Pelodiscus sinensis: one gene and its partners. The protein of the gene in region 1 interacts with the protein of each later gene in a pairwise test. Links are inferred from orthologs where the notes say so. Each region holds a gene or a part of one and is shown on either strand. Other genes may lie near its edges.

The links.
Region 2: the proteins of CBY2 (region 1) and PLEKHN1 interact in binary tests that used the Homo sapiens proteins (3 or more experiments, as listed by UniProt). The two-hybrid records come from large-scale screens. The link is inferred for Pelodiscus sinensis from reciprocal best matches to the Homo sapiens genes CBY2 and PLEKHN1.
Region 3: the proteins of CBY2 (region 1) and CNNM3 interact in binary tests that used the Homo sapiens proteins (3 or more experiments, as listed by UniProt). The two-hybrid records come from large-scale screens. The link is inferred for Pelodiscus sinensis from reciprocal best matches to the Homo sapiens genes CBY2 and CNNM3.
Region 4: the proteins of CBY2 (region 1) and LMO1 interact in binary tests that used the Homo sapiens proteins (3 or more experiments, as listed by UniProt). The two-hybrid records come from large-scale screens. The link is inferred for Pelodiscus sinensis from reciprocal best matches to the Homo sapiens genes CBY2 and LMO1.

The regions. Positions count from the first base shown.
Region 1 is NC_134711.1:287,239,818-287,246,661, forward strand, and holds the start of CBY2 (protein chibby homolog 2), read left to right. Parts: upstream 1-3,831; 5' UTR 3,832-3,999; intron 4,000-6,241; exon of another isoform or gene 6,242-6,244; 5' UTR 6,245-6,384; coding exon 6,385-6,844.
Region 2 is NC_134733.1:14,660,619-14,668,312, reverse strand, and holds the start of PLEKHN1 (pleckstrin homology domain-containing family N member 1), read right to left. Parts: upstream 3,009-7,694; 5' UTR 2,724-3,008; coding exon 2,644-2,723; intron 723-2,643; coding exon 623-722; intron 1-622. UniProt on the Homo sapiens protein: Controls the stability of the leptin mRNA harboring an AU-rich element (ARE) in its 3' UTR, in cooperation with the RNA stabilizer ELAVL1.
Region 3 is NC_134738.1:5,725,326-5,732,408, reverse strand, and holds the start of CNNM3 (metal transporter CNNM3), read left to right. Parts: upstream 1-4,083; 5' UTR 4,084-4,098; coding exon 4,099-5,404; intron 5,405-7,083. UniProt on the Homo sapiens protein: Probable metal transporter.
Region 4 is NC_134714.1:108,227,197-108,234,933, forward strand, and holds the start of LMO1 (rhombotin-1), read left to right. Parts: upstream 1-4,727; 5' UTR 4,728-4,765; coding exon of another isoform or gene 4,766-4,787; intron 4,788-7,737. UniProt on the Homo sapiens protein: May be involved in gene regulation within neural lineage cells potentially by direct DNA binding or by binding to other transcription factors.

The DNA of each region.
Region 1 (6,844 bases):
AATAATGGAGGATTTCAATGTCCCCTTATTGACTGGGTACAGGTCACCTCAGGACAGGATGTAGAGACAGTTTCTTGACATCTTAAATGACTGTTTGTTAGAGTAGCTAGTCCTGGAACCCACAAGAGGAAAGACAACTCTTGATTTATTCCTAAGTGGATCATAGGATCTAGTCCAAGAGGTGAATATAGCTAGACTGCTTGGTAAAAATAGCGACCATAATTTACTTACATTGAACATCCTTGTGGTGAGGAAAACACTCCAGCAACCCGACACTGTACATTTTAATGTCAGAAAGGGGGCTAGATAAAAATGAGGAAGTTAGTAGAATAGAAATTAAAAGGTACGGTGCCAAAAGTGAAATCTCAGCAAGAAGCATGGAAACTTTTAAAAGATATCATAATAGAAACCCAACTTAAATATATACCCAAATTAAAAATTGTAGTATGATAACCAAAAAAATACTACCAGGGCTAAATTAAAGAAAGTAAAAGAAACAGTGAGAGATAAAAATGCATTCTTTAAAAAATGGAAGTTAAATCTTAGTGAGAGAAATAGAAAGGAACATAAACTCAGGCAAATGAAGTGTAGGAATATAAATAAATAGGAAGGCCAAAAAAGAATTTGAAGAACAGCTAGTCAAAGACTCAAAAAGTAATACAAAAAAAATTGTTAAGTACATCAGAAGCAGGAAGCCTGCTAAACAACCAGTGGAACCACTGGACAATCGAGATGATAACAGAGCACTCAAGCATGATAAAAATCATTACAGAGAAACTACATGAATTATTTGCATTGGTTTTCATAACTGAGGGTGTGAGAGAGATTTCCAAACCTGAGCCATTCCTTTTAGGTGGCAAATCTGAGGAACTGTTCCTTTAGAAAGGATTTTGGAACAAACTGATAAAATAACAGTAATAAGTCATCAGAACCAGATGATATTCACTCAAGAGTTCTAGAGGAACTCAAATATGAAATTGCAGAATTACTCACTGTGGTTTGTAACCTATCCTTTAAATCAGCTTCTGTGCCAAATGACAGGAGGATCACTACAGAGGTGATCCCAGCAATTAGAGTCCGATAAGTCTGACTTCAATACTGGGCAAACCAGTTGAAACTATAGTACAGAACAAAATTATCAGCTATATAGATGCACTTAATTTATACTTGGTAGGGAAAATTCAATATGTTTTTTGTAAAGGAAAATCATGCCTCACCAAGCTATTAGAATTCTTTCAGGGGCTCAACAAGCATGTGGATAAAGGGGATCCAGTGGATATAGTGTTCTTAGATTTTCAGAAAGCCTTTGACGAGGTCCCTCACCAAAGGCTCTTAAGCAGAATAGCTGCCATGGGACAAAAGGGAAGGTCCTTTCACAACAGCCTTCCAAGAAGAGCAATAGGGACAAAAAACCTTGTTTCAAAACTGAGCTTGATAAGTAGGGCTGTGAAGTGATTTAAAAAAATAGCTACAATTTTTTCAAGGCTAAATTCCAATAACATTGATGTACTTCAAGTCTGCAGTACCTTTTACACACTACACAAGCTTTCACCTCCAGTTCATATGCTACACATAACCCAGTGACAGCAAATGAAGCTTGCCAGCCATGGAAGAATATGCTTACAGAGTTTCAGAATGGGTACAAGCCCATGGATCAAAGTACAACAGCTTAACCAGTGCTATTGAAAAATGGGTAACTATGAACTACAGAGCACTTACCATGGAAAATGACTGAGGTCTAAGAGGTACTATCCAAATTGCATCTGCTAATTCGACATACCCTTGCCTTCTCCAGGAAACATTGAACCATGAATGTATGATCTATGTCACAATGAGAAGAGTACAAAGTTGGAGCTTCTGAAAAATGTACTAGCTGTTGCTTTGACTGGTGATCACTGGGCATCCTTGAGCAATCACAGCTCTCTTGGAATCCTAGCACACCTGGTTGATACTACCTGGACAGTGCAGCCATTTGCTTTAACAGTAACGCATTCTGAAGAGAAACATTATGCTGAAACATTCATAGGGCATTTTTTGGATGTTGTGAAAGGATGGGATATTCAAGAAAAGGTAACAACAATTAGTACTAACAGCGTGATCAAAACTGTAATTCATCTTGATTAATTTTTTAAATTGTGATTAATTTGTTTTGTGTTAATTGCTGACAGCCCTAATTTGTACACTGCTATCCCAATTCACTTGTGTCCTTTTCAGAGCAGAAGGAATTCCTTGATATCCCCTGTAACTCCTTCTGATCAATCAGTGTGCCAGGAACATAGACAAAATAGGCTACAAATACCTTGCTGTACCTCCCCCCAATTAACCAATTCTGGAGCTGATAAAAAGCCCTTTGAAGTGTGTTTTAGTTTTTCTATTGACTTAAGATCAGGTATGCTCAAGTCTTAAATTCTAGAGTAGCATATAGAAAGGTGATTCATTCACACCAGGTTGTATAGTTAGGAATAAAGGCAGGAAAATATGCAGAAAAATTAAGAAAAGAAAAACATAAAACACAACAAAACTTTAACCCTAGCAGTAATTATGAATTCAAAAGAATCAGGTTTTTCTCTTTTGATCAGTACTTGTTACTGGATTGTTCTTATCTTCACTAACTTTGGCTCTAGTATGAGCCCTAACGCTTTTCTGCTTTAGTATATTGTACACCCTTGATTCTCCAGGCATTGAGAAGGATCACCCAATTCAACGGTCATCTTTCCTAAAGCTCCCTACAACCAGTAAGTAAACTTCAACCACCCCCTTCTGTCAAAGGACAAACTCTCTTCAAGAAACTGATTTTCCTGCTCTTCACTGTAGAATACTTGAATAAGAAAGTAAACAGAATGCTCTTCAGGAAGTTGCCATAGTGATTAGTGATGCTTTAGTGTTGTCTGAGATTAAATAGAAATGGGAAGAAATTACAGTGAGAATTTGTATGCCAAAGTTTATCATCCTTCCATAATTCAAAAATTGCTGAACTGTTTACCTACAATTTTTCTAAAACATGAACAACCACATTAGGGCTAAGGCCAAGTTTTCACTTGGAAAGAAATTAACTGTAGTGTTTGCGACTTAGGAACACTCAAATTAGAAAACACTTAATTCTACTTTTAAAGATGCAGCAAATAAGAAATAATAAGAGAGAATTAAAAATGGAAAGATGTGGAAGTGCAAATAACTGCTTTGGATAATGGCATTGGGTGTAATGCCCAGATACTCTCAGCAGTCTATTTTCTTGTTAACAAGAATTGACAATGTCCTAGTTCTTTTAATTTGGAGTCAAAGAAAAACACCAACCTCAAAGTTAATTCTGGAAAATTACTCCAGGCCTCGTACTGGATAAAAGGGAGGTGTTTTGTTACCTTTAGTGTCAATTCAGTAGTGGTCTTAGTCTGAATATCGGGGATGGAGCAAATCATGTTCTATAAAAAGAAAGTACAGTACTGGGAAAATAATTCATTTTAACTGCCCCTAAGATCATACATGAGGAGAGAAGGCAAAAGAAGAACGTGGTTTGGGAAGGAGCTTGAGAATTCTCTACTTGATTTGTTATAAGGAAAAAGAAGTAACTTCTATTCACATGTGACTTAGGGATCTGAAAAAACCCCAGATAGTCTTCAGAGATTATAGTGGGAACAGTGGAGGCTAAGTCATGAGAATATAATAATAGGAAACCTTTGATGAGAAACACTTGAGAGCCTACTGAAGTTTAACAGGCCTGGGGAGCAGATGCCTTTCATTTACATCAATTACACTGTTACTCTGGATGTACTTAGATACTGTCTATGTCATAAAGGGGCTTTCTTGTTACATGCCTCAGTTTGAAAAGCATGGTCCTGTCTCTGGCCATGCTGAAAATCAGTTTTGAGCAGGGAGAGATCGAGGCAGCTTCTGGCATTTGGCCTCAGCATTGGATACACTACAGTTATAAACCAGCTGAGAGTTTGGAGAAGATAAAGACAAAAGAAACAGGACATCACTAGAATTATATTTTAAACAGAGGTGAGCAGATGTACCCACTATTACTGTAGAATACTAGTCAACTTGATTTTTAGCTAGCTTTGCTCATGTAATTGTAGCCCCAAACTGCATAAGGACTGTTTAATACAGATCTGAAAGAAAATGATAACTGAGATTAAGAGAAATTAAAAGGCTTCTGCAAGGGAGAAAAGATGGGTATGGTTCACCACTTGACATTATTCAGGTTTTACATTGATGTAATACCATGGAAATCAGTGTAAAACTGGAGTAACCCAGTAATAATTCAATCCCATGTTAAATGAGATTTGAAAAGAGATGGAGAATCAGTGAGACAGAGAGACACAGAGATAATAGCAGTAAATTTGACACGGACATTTAGTATATACAGAAGATTCATAGATTCTTAGATCCCAAAGCCAGAATGGACAACTGTAATAATCTAAGATGCCCGCCAGTATAACTCAGGCCATGGAATTTTCCCTAGATAATTCCTGGAATAGATCTTTTAGAAAAATATCCAATCTTGATTTAAAAAGCATCAGCAATGGGGAATCCACTCTGATCTTTGGTAATGTGTTTATGCTACGCTATCGAAAATTAGTCAGAATTCAACCCCCTATCTTTCCTCTGATATTGAGATCATCTTATTAAATGATCCATTAGACAAAAAGCCAAGACTCAACTCTTAGCTGATACACACAAGGGGTCAAATAAGAAAGCTGAGGCCTATACAAAATTAAGAAAAAGAAATAATGTATAGAAATGAAACATGCATTAGTCACAGATTTAGAATCAAGCATTTATTAGAAAAAAGATTAAACAACCTTAGAAGTCAAAGAAATTCCTGTAATTTATGTGGTAACTGTTGATAGTCTTAGTGAAGGAGAAACCTATGGGGGGAAAAGGAGATAAAAGAGATTATGTGAAAGATGCTAAATTATTGGAATCTTTTCATTCCCAGATATCATCACAAGCACTTGACTATATTGCTTCAGTTAACAGTAATGTAAAGTCTAGTAGAATTATGTTAGAATTAGCTGAGGAAAAGGTTTTAAAGCCTACAATAATATCTGGCCCTAAAAAGGGTTTAACTTACCCTAGACATAAATAAAAATTATGAAAGGTTGTGCTGAGAATTTGCTTGCAATAGCCAGACATTACTAATCCCACAGCTCCGGCTTGACCACAGTGATGCTCTGGGCTCATTCTCAAAAGACAAGCTTGTTCTGCTGCTGACAGAGGCAATTATTCTGATCTCAGTTCCCACTGGAAGCAGCAATACAGACCACTGAAAAGTTAAAAATGAGCATGTTTTCTTTTTCTTGAGTGCAAAGAGAACTCAGTGTGCTACGTGTGATTTTTAGAACTTTCTGGAAAAGGCCAACATTTTTAAACATTTTGGATGTTTAAAATTAGGTTCCTAAATCCACATGCTGGCACCTAAATATAGGTGATCCATGTTTTCAGAGGTGCTGAGCAGCCCAAGCACTCACTGTGTGCAGTGGCATTTGTGAGAGCAGAACAATTCTGAAAACGAGGCCATTTATATTAAGATGCCTATGTAGGGTTTTACCCATTTCTAGACTCCCACTTTTGAAAATCTTGACAACGTTCTTTGTGAAATCTGTATCATTCAGAGCTCTACTGTGAAATGAAAGGAAAAGTAATGTGGTGAAGAAACCTTAAGCTGGGCAGAATGAGTTCTTGCTACAGATATAAAATCACACTTTATTGACATAAACCTACACTGTGACTTACAAACTTATAATGAGAGATGTTCCCTGCTCTAAAGGGCTCATAAGATAAGACAGAGTTCATCAAGAGGAGGTACACAGGATCTGGAGAGTAGAAGAAGATGAGGTTTACTAGTGAATTTTGAAGGTGCCATGAGAGGGACTGCTTGGATTGGCAGTAGAAGAGACAACCTTTTATAAGATGCAAAGGAGAGACTGAGAGAAGGAGAGGAAAGGAGAAAGACTAAGCAGACTGGGAGGAATGCACCAACAGAGGAGCTTCAGGAGAAAATGAGGATAGAGGTGTTGGATGAATCTGTATTGTACATAAAAAAGCTAGTAGATATAGGTTGTTTTAGTTTAGCTAATGTCTGTAAAATCATTTTCATCCAACATATCCATTCAATCGAAGGCTTATCACAGAATAGACTTTGGAAAATAGATTTATTTGCTGGTTTCTTGTCCAATTGAGTTTAGTTCTGTCTTTGAACTTCATAACTAATCCTATTTATTTGTGTTCCCTATTCCAGCAGTTCTGAGTGAGTGTCTCTGCAGACCCCTCACTAGCTACTCATCACCAAGAACAGCAATTGCCTGCATAACTTCTGAAGAGAGTCTTTTCACACAGACTTCTTCACTTTGCTAAGTCATCCCCACATTTGCTTTTGATCCAATGAATCACTTTATGCATCAGGCAGAGCCTGACATGGATTATATTGCCCCTCGTGTCAAGCTAAGTGACGAGACATTTGTCTTTGTAGATGGCAAATGGGTGAGTGAGACCTACAATCAGCCACCCTTTGCTTACCAACAGAAACATTTCAGCAAGAAGATGCAGAAAGACTGGACTCTCTGGGAGGAGAACAAAGCACTCTGGGAGGAGAACAAGGCCCTTCGGATTGAAAACAAAGCCCTCCGGGAGGAGAACAAAGCTCTCCAGTGCCTACGGACACAGAACAAAGCCATCCAGGTTATTTATGATGACACCCTCCAGCAGGTTCTCCAGAAGGAGCACAATCCTTTCCCAGTCTTCCAAGAAAGGAACATAGGCTTCCAAGAGAACAAGGCCCTTCAGGTTGTTCAGGAAAAGAATATGGCTTTACAGATACTCCACAAGGAGAACAAAGCTGTCC
Region 2 (7,694 bases), on another chromosome or scaffold:
AACAGAGTCCTGATTTTGGTTGTGGCTTGTAGATGTGACCATAATACCAATCAACACTACTGCTAGTCACATAAGCTCTTCTTCCATTGAGAATGCTGGGAATGAGCCATGCATCTGCAAAGTTTGGATGTGCCTTAGGCAGGCTTGCCCCTACCTCTCCCCCTCCTGTGGCTGATTGCTAATACATTTGCAGCTCCATCTCATTCCAGCATGGGAATGAATCGCTCTCTTTTGTACGCTCTCCCTAGTTTCCCCTCATCCTTACTCGACCTAGAAGCAAACGACCTAAGAGCAGGTGAGGCTCTGCCTACCTCCCTGCCAGCACTGCAGATTCCAGATTTTCAAGTTGATGACAGGACTTCGTGATCCCCACCCACAGGATGCTGAATTAGAGAACTGGAGTGGTGAGCTAGCCTGCCTGGAAGGAGATAGCTCTCTGCTTCTGATCCCTGGTCTTCCTACAAATATCCCCCATCCCCAGCCTCTGATCTCCCTCGCCTGGACACGTGCAGAAATGCCTGCTCATCTCATACACATGGGAGCTCCTATTCAAGTGAACCCCGCTGCAGGTAAGAATAACTTCCCCTCATTCAAGGGTATGGCTGGATGGGTTTGTACTTACCCTCCCAGGAATATACTGCAGTATTTTATCTGCCGTTATGTCTCTCTCATGCCCTGATTCAATACCAAAGAGGCTGGCCAGCTTTTTCTTGCTGTCTTGTCTGCAAAGAAAACAAACACGCTGAGATCAAAGCTGGGACATTGCAAACCCCCCACTCAGAAATAAGGAAGCTGGGGAGCCAAGCAAGCAGTTTGTCACAGGCCTTCTAATAATCCCAGCCCAATAAACAGCTGCTAATCAGCCTGCAAGAATGTTAATGGCTTTGCATGGCACTTGTTGGCTTGGCTTTGGTTTATTTACTTACCTTTGCGTCACCAAAATGATCAACAAGCCCTGTCTGCATCTCCAGCCTCGCCTCCCAACTCCCCCAGGCAAAAGATGGAGCCTGCGCTGGAAGTGTCAAACCAGCACTCACCCACTCCATTTTATTCCATCTTGTGCCTCTCCTGATGCTGTCCTCTGAATCCCAGTAAAATTCCATCCCTGTGCCTGGGGGCGCACACCCACACCCGTGTTAATGCGCACTGCTGCAGCTCCCCAGCTGCAATTTCCCAGGCAGGTCACGGGTGCTGCTTTTTTCAAGGCTTCCTCTCTCTTTAAACCACATTGCACCACACTGTAACACTGGTCATTTGCAATGGACTGAAGAGCTCATCCTGCAAGCAGCCAAGTGACCTTAGAGCTCAGTGGGGTCTATGGGAGGCGCACTGCACAGGATCTGGGCCGGCATGCTGCACACTTCTCGGGGCCAGTGATCTTGGGTCTGATTCTCCTTTCCCTTGCATCTGTTTTACTCCATTGCAACGGCCTCCCTTTAGAGTAGGGGTGAGCAAATACAGGCCCACGGGCCGGATCCAGTCTGCCAGGGTTAGCCCCTAGCGGACCCCCACACCACCATATTTACCTGCACTGCCACAAGTGTGTGTGTGTGGGGGGGGGGGAATCACAGATCCCACTGGCCATGGATCACTGTTTCTGGCCAATGGGAGCTGCGATTGCCCATACCCATGGAGGTACAGGTAAATATAGTGGCAGCAGCCCACCAGGGGCTAACCCTGGGGAACCCCGGCCCGTTTTATTGCCCCCCTTATGTTACTGCTGATATAATCAATGTCAAGAAGACAAGAAACACTCCTGACATCCTGGCTGTTGGTTTGTAGAGCCCTGAGGGTTTCGGAATGCTCTCTTGAACTCCAGGGTGCAAGATAATACAACAACACAATGCTTTCTCCAGCTTCAGACCACTTAAAAGAAAACCACTGCCCTCCACAAAGGCCTGGCTCACGCTATGGTCCGGATCAAACATGCCTGGAAGGCAGCAGCCTGGGGAAGGTCCCACTTCACACACACACATGGGTGGGCATAGCAGGAAGCAATATATGGTGTTGCTGGGATCAGGGGACTTAGCAAAGGGGTGGGTGCAGAGAGCTGCAAGACTTCTGATACTTGCATGGGACTTTCCTAGCGGCTCCGTGGAAAACCTCAACGATCTGCTTCTCTCAGGGGTTATGCTGCTGCCCATCACCCTGGTATCGGTGCGCCTTCCAGGTACCACTGATACCAATACCAAAGTCCCGACGAGACTTCCTGGAGTGTCTGGCACGTCCCCCTCTTCAGGGTGACAAGGCTGGGAGACATGATGCAACTAGACATCCCGGGGGGGAAGGGAGGGGTTGGGGTCTGTCTGATCCTGCTCAAGCTCAAAGCAGCAGCAGCCACCGGCACGTTCCCCGGCGAGCCACGTGGGGACGAGCTCTACTTTTCCCAAGGAAAAGGAAAGACGCCGGCCCTGTTCTTCCTCGCGGGGCCGCCGCCCGCCGGAGCCGTCCCACGCCTCTTCTCCGAGCCTGGCAGGAACCCGAGCTCGCCCCGGGCTCTCCCACCCCCCGCCAGATCGTGCGCGTTCAATGCACATTTGGCTACGCCCGAGTGTAGCCCCCCGCGACTGTCCGGAGACGGGCTGGGGAACCGAGGGGCGCTTTAAACCAGGGCCAGAGACACCCCCCCGAGCCGGTACTTACTCTTTCTTCAGGGAAGGCTTCCTGCTGAAGGAGTATCGGAAGCGCCCCGCCGGCTGGGGGACACAGGTCGTGTTCCCCATGGGGACTGCAGCGGGGCGCGCCAGGCAGGGCGAGAGGGAGCGAGGGAGTGAGGCGCTGGGAGCCGGGCGAGCGAGTCATGCAGACATTCCCAGCCCCACTTCCGTCCGCGGTGACTCTTGTGGGTGTGATCTGTGCGCAAACAGCCTTTTGGCCCAGGGCTGTTCCCACCGGGCTCTCCTCGCTACCCCCCCTCCCCGCAGCTCCACGCCGCACCGGGAGGGACCTGCGCAGCCGAGGAACCCCACAAAGCCTGGGTGGCCCCCCCTGGCTCCTGGGCTGGGGGACGGGGGTTTTAATCCCGGCGAGATTCCCTCGGAGGACGCACGTGGGTCTCGCGGCTGCAATCGGATCACCCAGGCAGACCCCTGCACAAGCCAAGGCGCCCGGACACACAGCGTCCGGCCAATGCCTGGGGCTCGTGTGCCTTTATTTTGCGGAATGACTTGGTTTGCAAAACCCATGGCGCTCTTGTAGAAGCATGTCCCACTGCTGTTCCTAGCGCCAAAAGTGCTGGCTCCCACAGGGGGGATTTCTCTTTTAGCCCTCCTTTGGGCAGCTAAAAACAAATTAAACAGTGAACCACAAATTAGTGGCAGCTTCGCTGCATGTTCAGCTCTGGAATCAATTGCCTAGGAAGGCTGCGGAATCTCTATCCTTGGAGATATTTGAGAGCAGGTTAGACAAACACCTGTCAGGGATGGTTTAGATCAGGGGTGGGCAAGACAGCCTCCGTGTCAAGTCTCCTCCCCCCACCAGGGGTCCCAGTCATCAGAGGGAATCACAAGCTGCTTTCTCTCTAGGGGTGTGTCTAGACTACAGGGTTTTATCGACAAAGGTGGACTTTTGTTGACAGAATGATACCTGCATCTACACTACCGCCGAGTTCTGTAGACACAACGTCGACAGAACTCGGCAGTTTTGTCGACAGCAGTAAACCTCATTCTACGAGGAATAATGCCTTTTGTCGACAGAGTTCTGTCAACAGAAGGCGTTATTGCATCTACACTGTGCTTTGTTTCTACACTCTCATGTCCACAAAACAGCTTACTTTGTCGACAGAATTGGATGTAGTCTAGACGCTCTTTGTTGACAGAAGCTTTGTTGACCTTATCTGTCGACAAAGCCTCTGTCTACAAAAGCCTGTAGTCTAGAGTACCCTAGGTGCTGGAGGGGGGAGGTGGGGAAAGACTTCAGTGCTCTCCCCCACACCCTGGCCAATTAGGGTCTGTGGGTGAAGCTGCACAGGAAGCCTCCTGGCCCCACCTCTTCCTCCCGAGGCCTCGCCCCTTCTGGGGCAGCCCTCAGAAATTTGGGAAGTGGCTCTCCTTCACACGTTATTGTCCATCCCTGGTTTAGATGGTGCTTGGACCTGTAAATGCAGGGGACTGGACTTGACCTCTCAACGTCCCTTCCAGTTCTATTATTTTATGATTCTGTGTGAGAACCTTAGTTATTTATGTACACGCAAGCATAAACTTCAAACCAGTTATACAAATACACACGGTGCTTTAAAAGGGGCTGTGACAGGGCGCTTGCCCTGCACTGGCCCTTTAAGGGCAGACTCCGGCCTGAACCAGGGCCAGGGAGTTTAGCCCAGCTGAGGCTGTACTAGTCCATTAGGGCCCAGCTGGGAGCTATAATAGAGGATGGGCTGCTGCTGTGAAAGGGGAGTAGTGAGAACCTGGCTGGGGAGGGAGGTGGCTCAGGCTCCCTGGAGCTAGGGCAGGGCTGGGGGAGGCCAGGCAGGGCTAGGGGAGCTCTGGCCAGCAAATCCTCAGACTGCAGGGCTTGAAAGAAGGCCCAATGAAGGAACATCGACCCCCGGAAGGGGGGCTCAGAGACAGACTTGGGCACTGCTGGAGGGCAGTGTGGCAAAGAGGATGCCGCAGCCGGGAGTAAAGAGGGGAGACACCACCCCAGAGAAGGCACCCTTTTTTAGTTTTTTTAATTGTATCCTTTGGTATATATGGTTGTGACTACTTTCTTCCACTATTTGATCTGAGGAAGTGGGTCTGGCCCACGAAAGCTCATAATCTAATAAACCATCCTGTTAGTCTTTAAAGTGCTACATTGTCCTGCATTTTGCTTCCCCTACCCGCTGAGGGAGCCAATTCCTGAGGACAGATGGCAGGGGGGTTACGGTGGTGAGTGCACCCCCTTCACAGGGGCCAACTTCACAAAGCTCAAAGTCTTTAGGAGCCAAATCAGCAGGAAGTAAGAATTTGAAGAGAGAAAAGCATGTGATAATTGGGGACTGTTTAAAAACATTTACTTAGATGGCCAAAAGACACAGGCAGGAAAAAATTTAGACTGTAAGCTCTTTGGGGCAGGAACTGTCTTTAAGAAAACAAACTGTTTTTTGTAGTTGCTTTCACTTTCCCTCTAAACCAAACAAAAATAACTTCTCAGTATATAATAAATGGGGAAAAGGGTAAGATGACTCTACATTAGAAGCTAGGAAGCACGCAAAGACACAAGGAGGAATCTTTAGCTAGCAGAGAAAAAGATACTAAGGAGGTTTTGAAAGTATACTAAGAACAAAAGGAGTCCTAATAGGAGTATTGGTCTATTGCTGAATGAAAATGGTAGCTTTGACAACAGCAGTACAGAAAATAAATATTTCTGTTCTATGGTTAGAAAAAAGCCAAGATGATGACTTTTTTTCCATTTCATTAGTAACTAAAGAGAATGTTAAACAGTAGCTGTCAAAACTTTCAAATTTTGATATTTTCGAATCAGCAGCCTTAGTAACTTGCATCCAAGAGTTTTAAAAGAGTTGGCCCAGAAGCTCTCTGGCCCATGAATGTTGCTTTTCAGTATGTTTCAGAATGCTGGGCATGCTCCAGAGAAGTAAGAGAAAGCTAATGTGCTTATATTTAAAAAGGGTACAGGAGATAATTTGTGTAATTGTAGGGCTGCTAGCCTGACATTGCTTCCAGGCAAGATAATGGAACAGCAGATATGAAAATTGATTAATGAAGACTTAAAGGAGGGTACTATATTTAATGCTGATCAACATGGGTTTATGGAAAACAGATCTTGTCAGACTAACGTGGACTTTTTGGAGGAGATTACTAGTTTGGTTGACAAAGATCATAGTGTTAATGTAATAGATTTCTGTAAAGCATCGGACTTGGTCCTAGAAAAGCGGCAAGGAGTTCTGTGGCACCTTATAGACTCCTTGCCGCTTTTGCAGATTCAGACTAACATTCCTAGGACCAAGTCAAGTATCAGAGGGGTAGCTGTGTTAAACATCATGTAACAGGATAATGGTGTAACCCAGAGGTGGGCAATAAAATTGTGATGGTTCACCAGGATTAGCCCCTGGTGGGCCGTTGCTGCTGTATTTACCTGCACCTCCACAGTTACGAGCGATCACAGCTTCCATTGGAGCTGTGCCTCACACCCACAGAGGTACAGGTAAATATGGCAGCGTGTGGGCCCATCAGGGGCTAACCCTGGCAGACCAGATTTGGCCCGTGGTCTGGTATTTGCCTACCCTTGGTGTATATTGTGAAAATCTCAGAGCCTGCAGCAAAACCTCCCTGGGAGTGGAGACACCAGCCCCTGCCACAGCGAAGCCTCCCCCCCGTAGGTCAGCCCTTGCCCACTCAGCTGCCGGGGAGGTGGCTGAGTGTAACCAAGACCATCAACCAATAAGCTGAACGGTTACTCGGTTATACACTAAGATCCCTACTTGGCCCAGCATGGTATTTTAATTTAAGAACGAGAAAAACAAAATTAACGTGGCCCTCATTACATGGATTCAAAGCTGGCAAACTGATTGATCTCAAAATGTAATTGTAAATGGGGAATCCTCGCTGAGCCAGTGTGTATCTGGTAGGGTATCATAGGGATAATTTTTTTTGAGGCTGACACAGAGTATGGGAGAGTGGTAAGGGGACAGGTCTCTGGTACAGAGCGATCTGGATCACATGATGCAAGCAAACAATGGGGGCAAGCAAACAATATGCATTGTAATTGCTCCTAAAAGTACAACCTTACATATGGATATAAGAATGTAGGATGTATGTGCAGGATGGGGACTCTCTCCTGGGATGCCATGACTCTGAAAAGGACTAGAAGCCATGGTGGTTAATTAGCTGAACACAAGCTCCCAGGTAGATGCTGTGACCCAAAGAGCTGACGTGATAGGTGGATGTATAAAGTGGGCAGTATTGAGCATCTCCCTGTGTTTGCCACAGTTGCTGGAATGCTGTGTCCAGTTCTAGTGTCCACTACATATAAAGGTGGCTGAAAAGTCAGAGAGGAGCCACTATAATTAGGGTTGCCAGATGGTTTAACCAAAAATACCGAACACTCCCCCCCCAAAAAAATTCTGTTGAGGAAAAAAAAGGAGACCAAAGTTGTTGATCAAAAAAAAAAAAAAAAAAAAAAAAAAGACCCTGACAGCAGTTAAGAAAAAAAAAAAAAAATCAGCATGGCCCCTTTACGAAGAGACTTTTTTTGCTTGTGGCTATTTTGTTTTTTCTGTTATAGCCACAAGACAAGCCTCTGCAGAACCAGGTAAGCGGGGGGAGGGGGCCTGGTGGGGGAAACGGGGGCTGGGCCCAGGTGCTGAGTGTGTCGTAGGGTTGCAAGGTGTCTGGTATTTTTGCCTCCTGGCAGGGGGAAAAAACAGAAAATACCGGACATTTTAGGTGTCCGTATTTTCTGAATTTTTTTTACCAGACACCTGGCAACCCTAACTATAATTGGCAAACTTGCTGAGTATGGAAAGACTCAGGCTATGTCTAGACTGCAGGCTTCTTTCTGAAGAAGCTTTTCCAGAAGCGATCTTCTGAAAAAACTTCTTCCGAAAGAGAGCGTCTACACAGCAAAAGTGCATCGAAAAGTGATGTGCTTTTTCAAAAGATAGCGTCCACACTGAATGGATGCTATCTCGCATTTAAGCTGTGATTACTATGGATGGAGTGACCACCAGGGCACTTGCCTTTTTCTGAAAAAGC
Region 3 (7,083 bases), on another chromosome or scaffold:
GATTCACTGATATTTGCTTCTTCATTTTCCATTCGCCCAAGCTGGTAGGGCCTTGGTTGAGTGACAGGCAGCCGCCTCCAGAGCTAACCTGCTCCCTGCCCTGCTCCTCAGCACCCAACCTGGCTCCAGGCGCTGCTAAGAATGCAAAGGGACAGGGCAGAGTTTGGGTTCTAAACCTACTTTACAACTAAAACAAACCCTCATCTTCCTGCTCTGACTGTGGGGGCTGCAGCATGGGGCTGCTTTCACCAGGGCCTGCTCCGTTGCTGCCTGGGTGACTGGCCAGGGCTGGGGGCTGTGTGTGCAGTGCCCTCGAGGCTTCCTGTGTAAGACCCCAACAGGAAAAGCAGGTTCCGCACGAGGCCCTCGAGCCAGATGGAGTCAGAGAAAAGGCCCGTTTAGCTCTGTATTTTCTTTTCCGACAGTGGCTGGTGCCAGATGCGTCAGAGGGAATGTACAGAACAGGGAAATTGTAAGTGATCCACCCTGTTCTCCATTCCCAGCTTCTGGCAGTCAGAGGTTAGGGACACTCAGAGCTTGGAGTTGCATCCCAGGCAATCTTGGCTAATAGCCATGATTTTCCTTTTTGAACTCCGTTAAAGGTTTGGCCTTCACACTATCCCCTGGCAAGGAGTTCCACAGGTTGCCTGTGCCTTGTTTGAAGTACTTCCTTATTTTGTTCTAAGCCTGCTGCCTATTCATATCGTTGGGTGAATAATAATTCCTTATTCACTTTGTCCACACCAGTCATGATTTTATTGATTTCTATCACGTCCCCCTTAGTCCTCTCTTTGCTGAGCTGAACAGTTCCAGTCTTTTTAATCTTCCCCTGGCATGGAAGCTGTCCCAGACCCCCTAATCTTTGTTTGCCACCCTTCTTTATACTGTTCAAATTCTAATCAATCTTTCTCAGATGAGGCAATGGGAACGGCACACTTTATTCAAGGTTGGACTCACAATGGATGCCTGTGTCCTGGGGCTGCTCATCGATTTTCTACCCTGCCTGGCTTCTGCTTTCTAGGCATGAATGTCAACATTCCCTTTCTCCCACTCCCCTCGAAATAGCTGCCTTGACTCCCCCCAACCCAGGCTGACTTCTTACCCAATTCCGCCTTCTCCCTTGTAAATGGGCTTGAGGCTTTCTTGTGAGCTGGTAACATTCCCATGATCATTCTTGCTTTTCTGAGTAAATCCTTCCTCCCAGCTGATTTGGCTCCTCATCCGTTCCAGCCTTTTAAAGCACCAACTGCGTAGATCACGGGGCTGGGCTTCCTGCTGTCTGCAGGCTAACCATGGCCAAGGGGAAAAGGAGGTGAGATCCTGCCCTTCTGAGCCCCTGGGCCCTTCCAGGTTGCTCAGCTCTGCCTTGGGCAGGGAGAAGTTCCTCCAGTCCCGGACTCAGGCATGGGCAGGTCTCATGGCCGCTGGATACTGGAGGATGGGGGACAGGGCTTGGTTTGCCTGCACAGCCAGGTCTGTACCTCCCCCCACAGGCCCAGCGGAGGCCCCTGGATGGTTCACACCGTCCGGCCAGGAGCACGTTGGCCTTTTTTCGCCGCCTCCGAGGGCTCCAATTCAACCGGCAGCTTTTTCCCTCCTGAGAGGTCTGCGAGAGCTCACTGAGCTCCAGTGTTCTGCCAGGGCCTCCTCCGGCCCTCGACGCTCTTCTCAGGGAGCCCCTGCTACACAACCTGTCTTTGCAGGCACAGGCAGCAGAGTCCCCCTCGGTGTGGCAGAGACTGGTCCTGGCAGGAACCACCAGGGCTCCTGGACGTGACCGAGGGACTGGGTAGATCCCAAGTGCTCAGTTGCTGCATGGGGCTCTCCGCCCTTCAGAGCCCCCACACATGCCTCAGAAGGTGCATGTCCCTCTCTCGTTTTTCTACAGCGGGCCCCATGGGAGGGGACGTCCTGCTCCCCCTCACTGCAAGCTCTCCAGCCTTTTTCTTGGGCCCCTGTTCCGCGAGTCCTCTCCCCCCCCCCACACACACCTGGCTTCCTCCCCTTTGCAATCCCAGCCGGCTGTGAGACCTGCACCCACGGACCAAGTGTGCACACGCTCCATTTCCTGACCCTCACGTCCTGGCCCAGCCCCAAGTGGCGGGATTGCTACCCCCTGTGGAGGGTGAGGACCCCCAATGGGCCAGTCTCTAGTCCTCCCTGATTCCACGGTTGGCCAGGGATGTCAGTGGGCAGCTTCTTCACAGAGCCACGAGCACGGGCGTGGACCGGGCACGGTTCAGCCCCATCCCTGAGGCCGGTCCCCTTAGAGGCGTGAGGTAGAAGCTGGCGCCCGCCTACCTCTGGTGCATCAGGTTGCAGCCCCTAATCTGTCTCCTCCTGCTGAGGCTCTGGCTGCATCTTTCCCTGCCCCTCATTACTTCTGCGCCCTCTACGTGTGGCCCCACAAAGCCACAGGGCCTCCTTGCCAAGGCCACCAGCAGCAGCAGCAGGAGGAGGATGCTGCGCAAGGAGGTGCTCAGGGACGGTGGGTCCTGTTTCCACTCCTCCCTAATTTCATGTATCCGGGCGGAGTTCCCCAGGGCAGTGTCCACTGGCTGCCCAGATGACTTCGAGGATCAGTGGGCGTGGCTGGGGTTCCCCCTTCTGGATCCCTCGCTTTGAACCTCTACCCAGCTGCCCTGAACCTGCTTGTCATTAATTGGTCCCTATATTTATTTGGAACATGGGTCCAATGGCCCTGCCCACAGTGCTGGGGGCGGGGCCTATAGAAGAGGGCAGGTGCCCAGGATTTTCCAATAAGGCCCCTGGATACAGGCAGGTGCCACCTGTCCAGGTTTTTTCAGGCTTGTCCCTTTTTGAAGGGGCTAGTTAGATGCACGGTGCAGCCCTTGGGGGGAGGCTCTGTACCCTCTGACCTGCTGTCCCATGGCTTTGGGGGGAGCCTTGCTGTGCGCTGCCCTGTACGTGGGGGCTCAGTACCCACTGCCCCACAGGTGTGGGGGGACTCTGTACCTACTGCCAGGGGGAGGCCCGGGGGGGCTGCCCCATTTGTGGGGGGCTTGGTAGCAGGGATGTTAACATATCTGTGTTTAAACAATAAGCCTGGGGTTACTGGTTAATCCTAACAACTCCACACCCCACCCCTGCTGCCTCCCTGTCAGTGGCAGCAGCACGGGGCCAGGCCGGAGCTGATGCTCACCGGGAGCCAACTTAAAACCTAACGAGTGTGACACACACACCCCCCCCCCCGGTGTAAATGTAACTGCTGGAAATTCTACAGAAAACCACAATCCTTAGCATCCTTGTGGCACCTGCTGCCCATGGGGGTGGGAGGGGCTCGCTGGGCGCTGCCCATGGGTGTGGGGGGCCCTCTAAGTGCTGCCCATGGGTGTGGGGGGGGGCTCGCTGGGCGCTGTCCAGGGGTGTTGGGGGGGGCTCTAAGTGCTGCCCATGGGGGTGGGGGGGGGCTCGCTGGGCGCTGCCCATGGGTGTGGGGGGCCCTCTAAGTGCTGCCCATGGGTGTGGGGGGGGGCTCGCTGGGCGCTGTCCAGGGGTGTGGGGGGGGCTCTAAGTGCTGCCCATGGGTGTGTGTGTGGGGGGCTTGCTGGGCGCTGTTCATGGGGGGGGTTCGCTGGGCGCTGCCCAGAGGTGTGGGGGGGGCTCTAAGTGCTGCCCATGGGTGTGTGGGGGGGGGCTCGCTGGGCGCTGTCCAGGGGTGTGGGGGGGGGCTCTAAGTGCTGCCCATGGGGGTGTGTGGGGGGGGCTTGCTGGGCGCTGTTCATGGGGGGGTTCGCTGGGCGCTGTCCAGGGGTGTGGGGGGGCTCGCTGGGCGCTGTCCAGGGGTGTGGGGGGGCTCGCTGGGCGCTGTCCAGGGGTGTGGGGGGGGCTCTATGTGCTGTCCATGGGGGTGGGGGGGCTCGGTGCTGGCTGCGTTCACTGGCCCTTTAAATCCAGCCCGCTCGCCCCGCCCCCTGCTTGTTTATGTCCCGGCGCAGCCCAACCTGCGCTTCCCTCGCCTGGGCCCGCCCCCTCCGCCCATTGGCCGGAGCCCACCGGCCCCGCTCCCCGATTGGCCGGCCCCGCGCGGCAGGCGAGGCTGTGCGCGCGCGGGGGGGGGGGCGTCAGCTGACTGGCATGGCGCGCGGCTGGGGGCTGCGCTGGGCCGTGGCCGCGCTGTGCCTGGGCTGCGCCGCGGGGCGCGACGGGCCCCCCCCCTCCTCCGCCCCCCCCGCGCCGCCCCCTCCCCACGTGCTGGGCTTCCGGCTGGAGGAGGGGGCCTGGGCGGCGGGGGGGCTGGTCCGCGCGCGCCCCGGGGCCCGCTTCCGCCTGCGGCTCTACGGCACCGGGCTGCGCAACCGCAGCGGGCCCTGGCTGGCCTTCGCGCGCGCCGGCGAGCCCTGCCCGGCGCGCGCCCTGCACGTGCAGCCCGACGAGCGCGCGCCCGGCGCGCCCGCGGCGCTGCTGGTGCGCGTGGCCGTGTCGCCCGCCGGCCCGCCCGGCACCTACCAGCTGTGCAGCCGCGCGGGGCCGGGCCGCCCGTGGGCCCCCGCCGCGCCCGGCGACGCGGTGCTGGTGGGCGACGAGGGGCCGGCGCCCTGGCTGCTGGCCCTGCTGCTGGCCCTGCTGCTGGCGCTGGCCGGGGGGCTGCGGGCCCTGCAGCTCAGCACCCTGTGGCTGGAGCCCGCCGAGCTGGCCGTGCTGCGGGAGTGCGGCTCGCAGGCGGAGCGCCGGGCCGGGGCCGCGCTGCAGCGGGTGCGCCACCGGGGCGCCCTGGCCCTCTGCGCCCTGCTGCTGCTGAGCACCCTGGCCAACGCCGCGCTGGCCGTGCTCATCGGCTGGGCCCTGCGGGCCCTGGCGCCCGCCATCCTGGCCGCGGCCGCCTTGGTCTTCCTGCTGGCCGAGGTGCTGCCCTTTGCCCTCAGCGCACGGTGGGGGCTCTGGCTGGCGTCCCGCGGGCTCTGGCTGACCCAGCTCTGCATGGTGCTCACCTTCCCCATCTCGCTGCCGCTCAGCAAGCTGCTGGAGCTGGCCCTGCGGCACGACGCCAGCACCTGCCTGCTGCGGGAGAAGGTGCTGGACATGGTGCGCAGCAGCGACCCGTACAGCGAGTTCGTGCGCGAGGAGTTCAGCAAGGGCGCCCTGCGCAACAAAACGGTGGAGGACGTGCTGACGCCGCTGGACAAGTGCTTCATGCTGAGCGCCGGCGCCGTGCTGGACTTCCACAGCATGTCCGTCGTCATGCAGAGCGGCTACACCCGCATCCCCGTCTACGAGGGGGAGCGCACCAACCTGGTGGACATGCTCTACGTCAAGGACCTGGCGCTGGTGGACCCTGACGACCGCGTGCCCCTCAGCACCATCATCAAGTTCTACAACCATCCCCTGCACTTTGTCTTCAATGACACCAAGCTGGACGCCGTCCTGGAGGAGTTCAAGCGAGGTAACCGCCCCAGTGCCCCGGGGCCTCTCTGCTCCAGCTCCATGCAAGGGGGTGCTGTCCTGCGGGGGCACCAGGGGGCTCTCTCCTTGCTGGGCTGGGAACTGTTAACCGGTTACCCAGGAAGCATCACCCTTACCAGGAGATACCCAGGAGCGGCCCATGCAGTGCTCAGGTGGCTGGGTACACAGGAGTTAACTCCTTCCACACTGCTGGGCAGCCAACTTCCCATGTTCCCTGGGGGACGCCCAGGGCTGGCCTCTCTCCATGCACCAGCCGGGTGGGTCAGAGCCGGGACCGACTGCTGCCCCCTTCTTTGACTGGGGTCTGCCCCTGCCAGCGATGGCCGGGCAGGTTTGGCCCTGGCTGGCTCCTTGCTGCCGCTCGTGGCAGACGTGCCCTCCCCAAAGCAGGGCAGAGGCTGGGATTCAGTCGGATTTCCCTACCCAGCTATTGTGCCATCTAGTGCCATGCCCGGAGCCCCGCCCTCAGCGCAGTGAGCCCTGTCTCCCACCTGGCCTGGCCAGGCCAGAGCAGCGGGAGGTGAGGGAGTGCTGCTCTGGAAAGGGAGGAATCTGGTGCCTGGACCTGTGGTTAGCGTCTGTGGGATGCCTGCAGCTCCCGTGCTCTGGCTTTGGCCCTTGGGAACATCTTCCCGGTTCGGTGTCTCTTGGCTTCGGGGGGCACAGCTGGGCAGTGGAGTGAGCACGCTCAGCCCTTGGCGGAAGGACTGTGAAAGCGTTAACACAGAGAGCTTTGCTCCCAAGTGGTTCTTGGGCTTCTGAGTTGGCAGAAGCTAACCAAACCACACAGCCCAATTGCCAGCCCTGCTCCGCGGTCCCCCCATCGCCTGCAGGGGCTGGTGGACACCAATCCGCAGCAAGCCCATTCGCGCTGCCCTCCCCTGATTTCAGTCCAGTGCCTCCCTCCCTCCCCATGGGTCCTGGGGAAGGTCACCTTCAAAGCCAGGCTCTTCCCTCCAGAGGCAGGGAGAGCGCTTGGAGGGCCTGCCCCTGCTGCCATGGAAACGTTTGGCAGGGCCAGCTCATGGCCACAGGGATCTGGCGCCTGCCCTGAGCTCCGTGTTCCTCAGGGCCCCTGGAACCGGCTGCTTCCTTCCTGGGCCTGGAGCGGAGCCCAAAGCCCCTGCCGCTCCGTGTGACCGTGGGCCAAGCCAGCCCTGGGCCGAGGGCGAACCAGAGGGTGGGCAGGGCGGGGCCTGCAGGAGGGTAGGTGGCCCCAGTTCAAGCCAGGCTCTGCCGCTGCCCTGCAGTGACCTTTGGTTGGCAAGGCTGGGGGGCCGGCGGTTGGGACTCCTGGGTTCCCTGGGTGGCTCTGGGGGGCCGGCGGTTGGGACTCCCGGGTTCCGTGGGTGGCTCTGGGGGGCTGGCGGTTGGGACTCCTGGGTTCCGTGGGTGGCTCTGGGGGGGCTGGGGGGCTGGCGGTTGGGACTCCTGGGTTCCGTGGGTGGCTCTGGGGGGGCTGGGGGGCTGGCGGTTGGGACTCCCGAGTTCCGTGGGTGGCTCTGGGGGAGATGGGGGGCCGGCGGTTGGGACTCCTGGGTTCCGTGGGTGGCTCTGGGGGGGCTGGGGGGCTGGCGGTTGGGACTCCCGAGTTCCGTGGGTGGCTCTGGGGGAGATGGGGGGCCGGCGGTTGGGACTCCTGGGTTCCCTGGGTGGCTC
Region 4 (7,737 bases), on another chromosome or scaffold:
GCAACAAACCCCATTGCCAGCTTTGTCCACATATTCACTCTGCTGATACCATTATTGGACCTAACCAAGTGAGTTATAAGATCAAGAACACATATTCCTGCGCATCCAGAAATATAATTTATGCTATCGTGCCAAAAGTGTCCGTCTGCTATGTACATTGGACAAATGTATCAGACACTTTGCCAAAGGATCAATGCCCACAAAACAGATATTAGACAGGATCACAAAGAAAAAACAGTTTCTTGCCATTTCAACCAGAAAGGACATTGTCTCAACGACTTAATTACCTGCATCCTGCTTCAAAAGCCTTTTAAGACTGCACTTGAAAGAGAATCCTCTGAACTGTTATTCATGCTAAAATTCGACACTTTACACCTGAGTCTGAACAAAGGATCTAGTTATCTTACCCATTACAAAGATAGCTTCCCCAAATTATCACCTCTAATATCAGTAGCTCACAGACATTTACCTCCCCCCCACCCCCTTCTGTTCTGAAATTTGATTTGTCCTTTTCATATGTGTTCATTTTTTAATTGTATCCTTTGGTATATATGGTCGTGACAATTTTCTTCCACTATTTGATCTGAGGAAGTGGGTCTGGCCCACGAAAGCTCATCATCTAATAAACCATCCTGTTAGTCTTTAAAGTGCTACATAGTCCTGTATTTTGTTTCACTCAACAATGCCACTTCAGGAATAATCAGCTAAATCTAACTCAAGTACAAGGAAGTCTCAGAGGGTAGCTGTGTTAGTCTGTAACTTTAAAAATGAGTAGTCCTGTTGCACCTTGGAGACTAACAAGTGTGTATGTGTGTGTGTGTGTATAAAATCATTTTGTGGGCAAAACCCACTTCTTCAGATGAGCTAGGAATCTGTTCTGTGCAGTTGAAACCTAGGAAATTACATTTAAAAATTGTTAAAACAACACCACATAATGTTGACAACTCAGGCACTCAAACATTAGCAAATGCCAAAATTAAGATGGCTAATGAAATCTAATTCTGCCACTTTGAGTATGCATTATGATATGATAGTTAATTGCATACTTGTATACTTTTTCCTCTACTGGGTCTCTGCCTCATTCAAGCACAGGAAAACTTGTGGAGGTCTTTCCATTGACTGGGATACAACACAAGTTCACTCCCCAGGAAATCTTCATCTGCTATACTCCATCATTTTTTAGGCTTTTCCTTTTCTGCTACTTGTGGCCAAAGCAAAAGAAGAAAGGCAACTGCAATCTATTCAACTGGGAATTGATTTGAGACACAGGAAATCTGGATTTCACTCTTGGCTTACAATTCAGCTGATGTGTGATCCCAGGCAAGTCACTCCAACTTTCTGTACTTCTCTTTTCCCTCATTCTCTTTGTCTGGTTTTTTTTTTCTATCTACACTGCAAGCACTTCAATGAAGGGACTGTCTGTTACATGTGGTTTTGTTTAGCCTGCACCACAATGGACCCTAGCCACTGTAGGTGCTATCATAATATGAACAATAGTGCATAAAGCCTTGAGTGGCATATTAATCATGTCTAGTCTTGTTCTGAGCATGCATGCAATGCAGACTAGTGCTACAGCATTGGGCTGGGAGTCAGGAGACGTGGTTCATATTTCCAGCTCTCCCACTGGCCTACAGTGTGACTTTGGGGAAGTCACTTTCACATCTCGGAACCTGTTTCTCTTCATACACTTTGTTCTATTTTGAATGAAAATTCTTTGAACAGGAACTCTAACTGTGCATTTATATAGTACCAGGTAAACTGGGGCTATGGCAACACTACTTAATAGTAGTAGTAGTATATTGTATTATTTATTTCATTTTATTTATTAGTATGGGAAAATTCTTAAGGAAGGCCATTCTCATGGTATTTCCTGTCTAGTGTTTTTAGACTCCAGACATTCGCGTAAGTACTCAAATGCTTCCTTTTCTGAATGGATTATCTGAATATATTTGTAAAAGGCACACAGGGCAATGCGCCACTATATTGTAGAAAGCATTTCTCTGAAGTGGAGACTTTTTACATAGTGGTTAATCCTAGGATCTTTATTAAGCCTGCATAAATGTAAAGATAGGGATCAGTGCGTATCATTTAAACTGTAAAATGTTTGCATGGAGAATTATTTCATGTTTTATGTTTTATAATAGCTTGGCTTTGGCTGAGAGACCTCACTTCAATTTGTCCGTTGCCTCTTCTTCTCTTTCTCATCCCCAGACACCACGATCTTCCTGAATTCAACTGTGAACATCACTTCTAGAGACGTGATACCAAAATCAATATTCATTTCACAGTTTAGACCCTTTACTCAGTTTCTGGCTGCTTCTCCCTTTGCATCTTCCATAGTGTCCTGCAGCTTAGCGTATCCAAACATACGCCTCTTTGGTAAGAGTATCCTTCAACAAAACTCTGGTACCTCCAAAAAGCTCAGAGTAAAATGAAAAAGTTGCATACTTAGGTCTTGATCCTACTACCATTGCAGTTAAAGTTTCAATTGATTACAGCAGAAGCACATTTGGGCCTTTAAAATGTAATATATATTAGCGGTTCATGAACATAGCTAAAGGTTTCTCCAAGTTTGAGATTTCTTGTGTTGTTTCCAAAAAGATTCATTAAGTTAGACAGATCAACTTCATGTGGGTACAATATATGCCATACACTGGAAATTAAATATCAGAAAATTAACAGAGTTTGTTGTGTTATAAAGCTGCAGGCTTTTTTTAAATCATTATACTCATAGAAAAAAGTACTGCACTAATGGAACACAATATTATATTGTAAGTTGTATTTGCAAGTAACTTTGGTTAAACTTGCTTAGCAATAAATGTAACAGGTTTTCTTCTTGGCTTTATTTGACACGTACAATGTGTGCTTTAAAGATAATGAGTAGCGTTGTCAAATGAACGACTCTAATCATGGCAGCCCCAACATGAGAAATGTGGTAATGTGGAAGTGGGAGGAAATCCCAGGAGACAAATCTTTTGGCATTTTAAAAAAATTTCCAGATATCACAAAAATTGTGTGTCTCACCAACAGAAACCGTCCTGATTAAAAAAAATTAAAATCAAGACAGTGGGGGGAAATGAAATAAAGCTTAGTATATGAGCAGAACTAATATTAGTTTCCTGATAGATTTAGATAGGCAAGGGGAATAATGAATCAGCTCATGTATTGCCTGGGGAAACAAAATCTTCAATACCCCTGTGCAGATTGAGGACACTAACAATAAGGGTCTTTGGTAAGTAAAAACCAATTTTGGGGGGAAATCAATAAATGCTTTTTAATGGAAGTTCACATGGAATTAAAATGTGGGTAACCTGCAAGTTCCCGTTTCAACTAATGGAAATGCTAATGAATGATGTTCCAGTTTCAACTAATGGAAATCAAGCCCATTATGGTAAACATAGGAAGCAAGTACATTAATAGTAGGCATTGACATTAATTCAGATTGTAAACAATTCAGAACTGTTACCAATACATGGTACATTATTTGCCATCTTATCTGCTGTTTTCATAGGACTACTTCTTTCACAGCTTTTTAAAATACAGAAAATTGACTGCTACACAGTTTTATCAGTTTTTTGCCATAGTAAACAAAATAGTTTGCAAATTCTGTTTTGCTCTCCCTTCCCCCATCAACTCTTTATCTTTTTGTGTGTGTGTGTGTAGCTGAAAACACTTTTCAAGCTAGTGATGCCACCTACATTCATTGCTATGCAGTTCTGTACTTTACTTTTAAAAAGTTTAGCCAGGGGGAGATGTGGGGAATAATCTGTGAGAAGTAGAAAGAAAATTGATCTTATTTATACAGTAACACGTGTGTTAAAGCAATGCCTCTTTTCCTTTGCTATAGACTCCTGCATTTTCTCTCACACGTATATACACACACACACACACACTTTAACTGTGCTTTTGTGTTTTGTCAGAATTAATGAGAAAAGTTCCCTTGCCCTAGGGGTAATTAGTGTCCTTGGAGTTAAATAAGCTAATACTTAGACACCTCTGGCACAGGCAATTATGTTTGTGTATTGAATAATTGATTCAAAGAGGGGGGGAAGAGGCTGCTAATCAGATCTGAGCATAATGAATTGATTTAATTAACAGGGGAATCTGAGGGTCCCTGGGAAATGTGCGCATTTATTCAGCAGCAAGAGAGAGTGCAAAGCACATAAATTGAGAGAGGCAGGCAGCAAGTGCTTTTGCGTTCAGTGATAGGTTCGCATTTTTCCTCCCCCTACCTCCCTTCCTTTGAATATAATTTTAGCTTTAGAGTGAAATAAAGAGAAAAGCACTTCGGAAGCCTGGGAAGCTCGGCAGTAGCAACAGCAGAAAGGAGGAGGGGGGGGGGTGCTTGTGAGCTATCATATGCAATTCCATTCAAACCAATTTTTTGGCTGTGCACCTTGGGAAGGCGCTGGAGAACCGGCCCTGGATTTGGTCTCCTTTATCTTTCCAGAATTCTTGCGCTCCTCTCCGCACGGGCCTGTGAGTCGTGGCGGGAGGGCAGGGGCTGAGCGCTTGCCTTGGCACTAGCGGAGCGCCCCAGCCGAGCCCGGCGCAAGCGAGGCTAGAAGTCGTGCAGCCGCCGCTCGCCGGCTGGGGTGGGGAGCAGACCCAGGGAGGACGGCCCGGGTGCGCGTGCCGCCGGGCAGCGCTTTGCAAGCCCTCTCGGGCGCCCCGTCCCTTCCCCTCTCTGGCGCACAGGAGCGGCGGCTGGAGGGTGAGCGGACGCCAGCGGCGGAGGCAGCTGTTTCCCGCGAGCCCCAGAACCATGGTGCTGGACAAGGAGGACGGTAGGTGGGACGCCGGAGGGTCGGGCCCGCCCCGGCTCCTTTGGCGCGCGGCCGGAGAGGCCGCGCGCGCGGCCGGCGGAGACGGGGGCATTGCTGCAAGTGCCTGTCGCGGATGCCGTGCGCAGCGGAGCACGCTGGGGTGCGCGCGCAGGGCGGTCCGGGCTCGCCTGCCTGCCTGCGCTGCTAAACTCCATCGTGCGGTGCAGGGCGTTCGCTGCCCCTGGCACGCGGAGCGCGGTCTCTTCAGCCAGCGCTGTGCTCGCCTCCCTGGAGCTTGCTGGTCTGGGTTCGCTTCTCTGCCCCTCTAACTCCATCAGCCTCAGTGTGGTCTCTTCTCCCCGCGCGGCGACTGTTGTCCCCTCCTATTGTCGTGTTTACCCTCTCGCCTATCCCACCCCTCCCCAGCTCCCTCCTCGGCTCTAAACCCGCTATTAATGCCTAAGAGCTCACAGCTTTGCTAAACTGCCTCACAAAGGGCGCCTCGGCTTCTTGTGGGAAAGGATTTACTTTTTAAAAGAGGCTGGGAAGAAGGGGGATGTGTGGATGTGGCGATGAGAGAGAGCTGACTGCAGGCAACTTTGGCTCAACCATGTGCTTATTGTCAGGACTTGCTAGACATTCATGTGGCCCCACTTGGGAGCGGGGAAGCAGGCCAGAGTTAAAGACTAAGTTAGCTAATTGAAAGGGAAATTAATTCTGACGTGTAAAGTATTAAGAAGGGCTGAAGAAAAAAGGAAACTGGTAACTCACCACAATAGCCTCCTGCATCCTAAAGAAGTGAGAAATAAGATGAGAAATACATCCAGTGAGAAATAAGATGCTGCTGGAAGTTTTTGTAATGTGGGGCTGGGGTGAAAGGAGAGGATAACTCCCACCTCTGCCAGCCTGCACTTCTTAGCTGTCAGAGTTGGCTGTCAAAGGTTATTTGCTGTGCACGGCTGGGGTGGTGGTTCTGAGTGAAACAATCCATACAGGCATCCTGTAACAACACTGCAAAACTTTTGCCAGGGTTATCCTACTGAGGCCTTTTCATTTCTACTCTCACCCCCCAGATATTTCAAATCTATCTACAAAACACCAACGAGTAGTGAAAGTGTGGTCACCTACTGCTGTGCATGGTGATGGCCTTTCCCAGTTTTCCCAATACGTGCTCATCATACTGACTTTTTAAAACTCTTTTAAGACCCTTCTAGTCTTGTCATTTTCTTCATAATTGAAAAGACTGTGTCACAGCCAGCACCATTGCCTGTCAGAAACTAATATGTATATACCTGGACTTCACTGATTCTGGCGGTATTTTATGGTCATTTTTGTCTACAACTGTGTTTTTGAATAGTGGCCTTTGCTTTGGGGATTGGCATGTGGGTGGCTGCTGGGTCAAAGGTCATTTTATATGCTTTTCATTGGCATAGACAATACTTGGGGAAAGAAGTCCATGCTGCTCAGAAAATGGTCCATTCCTCCAAGCCCATATTAGGTAACACAACTAATTCTTAATTCTTCTCCTTTATCTGTTGCTATCACTTTCCAGCCCTCTCATCTCTAACCAAGCTATGCCAGTCATATATGTGTATGGGAATAGGAGCATTACAGAGGTTGCTGTCTTTTGCGGAGACTGATGGGTGATTATGTTGTTGGTCATCATGATCAAAGTCCTATCACCACTTCAGAACGTCATGCCGTCTTGCTGCATATAACTGTGTCACTTGCCACAAAGTCAGGTGGCATTGGCTTGTCACCCGTCATGCCAACTTTAGTTAATTGCAAACTGAAAAGCCTTACAGTTGGTAGTGTTGTAGTGAATGCTATGTTTGTATAAATATCAAACTTCTCTTCCTGAGGAATGGGGGGGGGGGGTTAATTTGGAAAGGCAAATATCAGAAGCACCCTTTCCCACTCAATTTTGGAGTAACTGCCTTTGCCAGGTAAGAGCCAGCGTCACACAAGCTTTAATGGAGTGAGTTGAGGCATGAGGAAAAATCATATCCCTGCTTGTGTGCCTACTTGTTGTGGGAGGGGGTCACATCTGTAACAGCTAGAAGGTTAAATGCACACTCCAGCTTGTGGGGAGGGAGCTGAATGCTCTGTTGTTGCATCTGTGGACTTAGAAGCTTTTATACTATTCCACAGTTTTGTCAGAGCCCTCTGAAATAAACTGATCCAGTGATGGTAATGGGCTGTAATGTTCCAGCAGTCAAAAGTAAACCTGTGAATGAGGGGAGAGAACTTGCACTACATTTTAAATAAATGATACAAAATGTTTAGTAACAAAAAAAAAAAAACCCCTCTCTCACATCTGCATCCTGATACATGGGGCTAAATAATAACATTAGAGTTAAGCAAGGTTAATTCTTTTCCAGTCTGGCTCATGTGATAGGGTCTGTATTTCCCTCTGATTTCATTTTTGTGGGTAAGCCACAATGGTTGATCCATGAAACTTAAATGGTTGCAGTGCAAATTTTGTTTGACTTGAGGGGGAAAAGGTCAGCTTTTTACTTTCAGCATGAAAGTCCTCCAATAATAATAATAAACTAGGCAACATCTTAATCTCTCTTAACTTTCTGCCAAAGGGTGCCTGCCAACCCATATCTGTTTAAATCTGATTGACGGGTTAACAGCGGGATGCTGGCTCTGCTGTAGAAGTAAGGGAAGCAGGTGAGCTATAAGGAAAGACTGAGATCTAAAGAGGGTTTGCTAATGGGAGTATTTGGATTCTTTCAAGTATTGCAGATGGACTCGTTAAATGTAAGGAGCTCAGGGCTGGAATGATGGTGGTGTAAGGAAGTGAAACTAGAACCATTGATTATCCAGACAGTTCTCAACAGCCCTCATTCCAGGAGCTCTCGTGAATGGTGATATAAAAGGAACTAATGGGGATGAGGGTGAAGGGAAGGAGGAAATTAGAATGAAAGACACTTAAGAAGAAGAATAGTAAGAAATTCCGGATGTG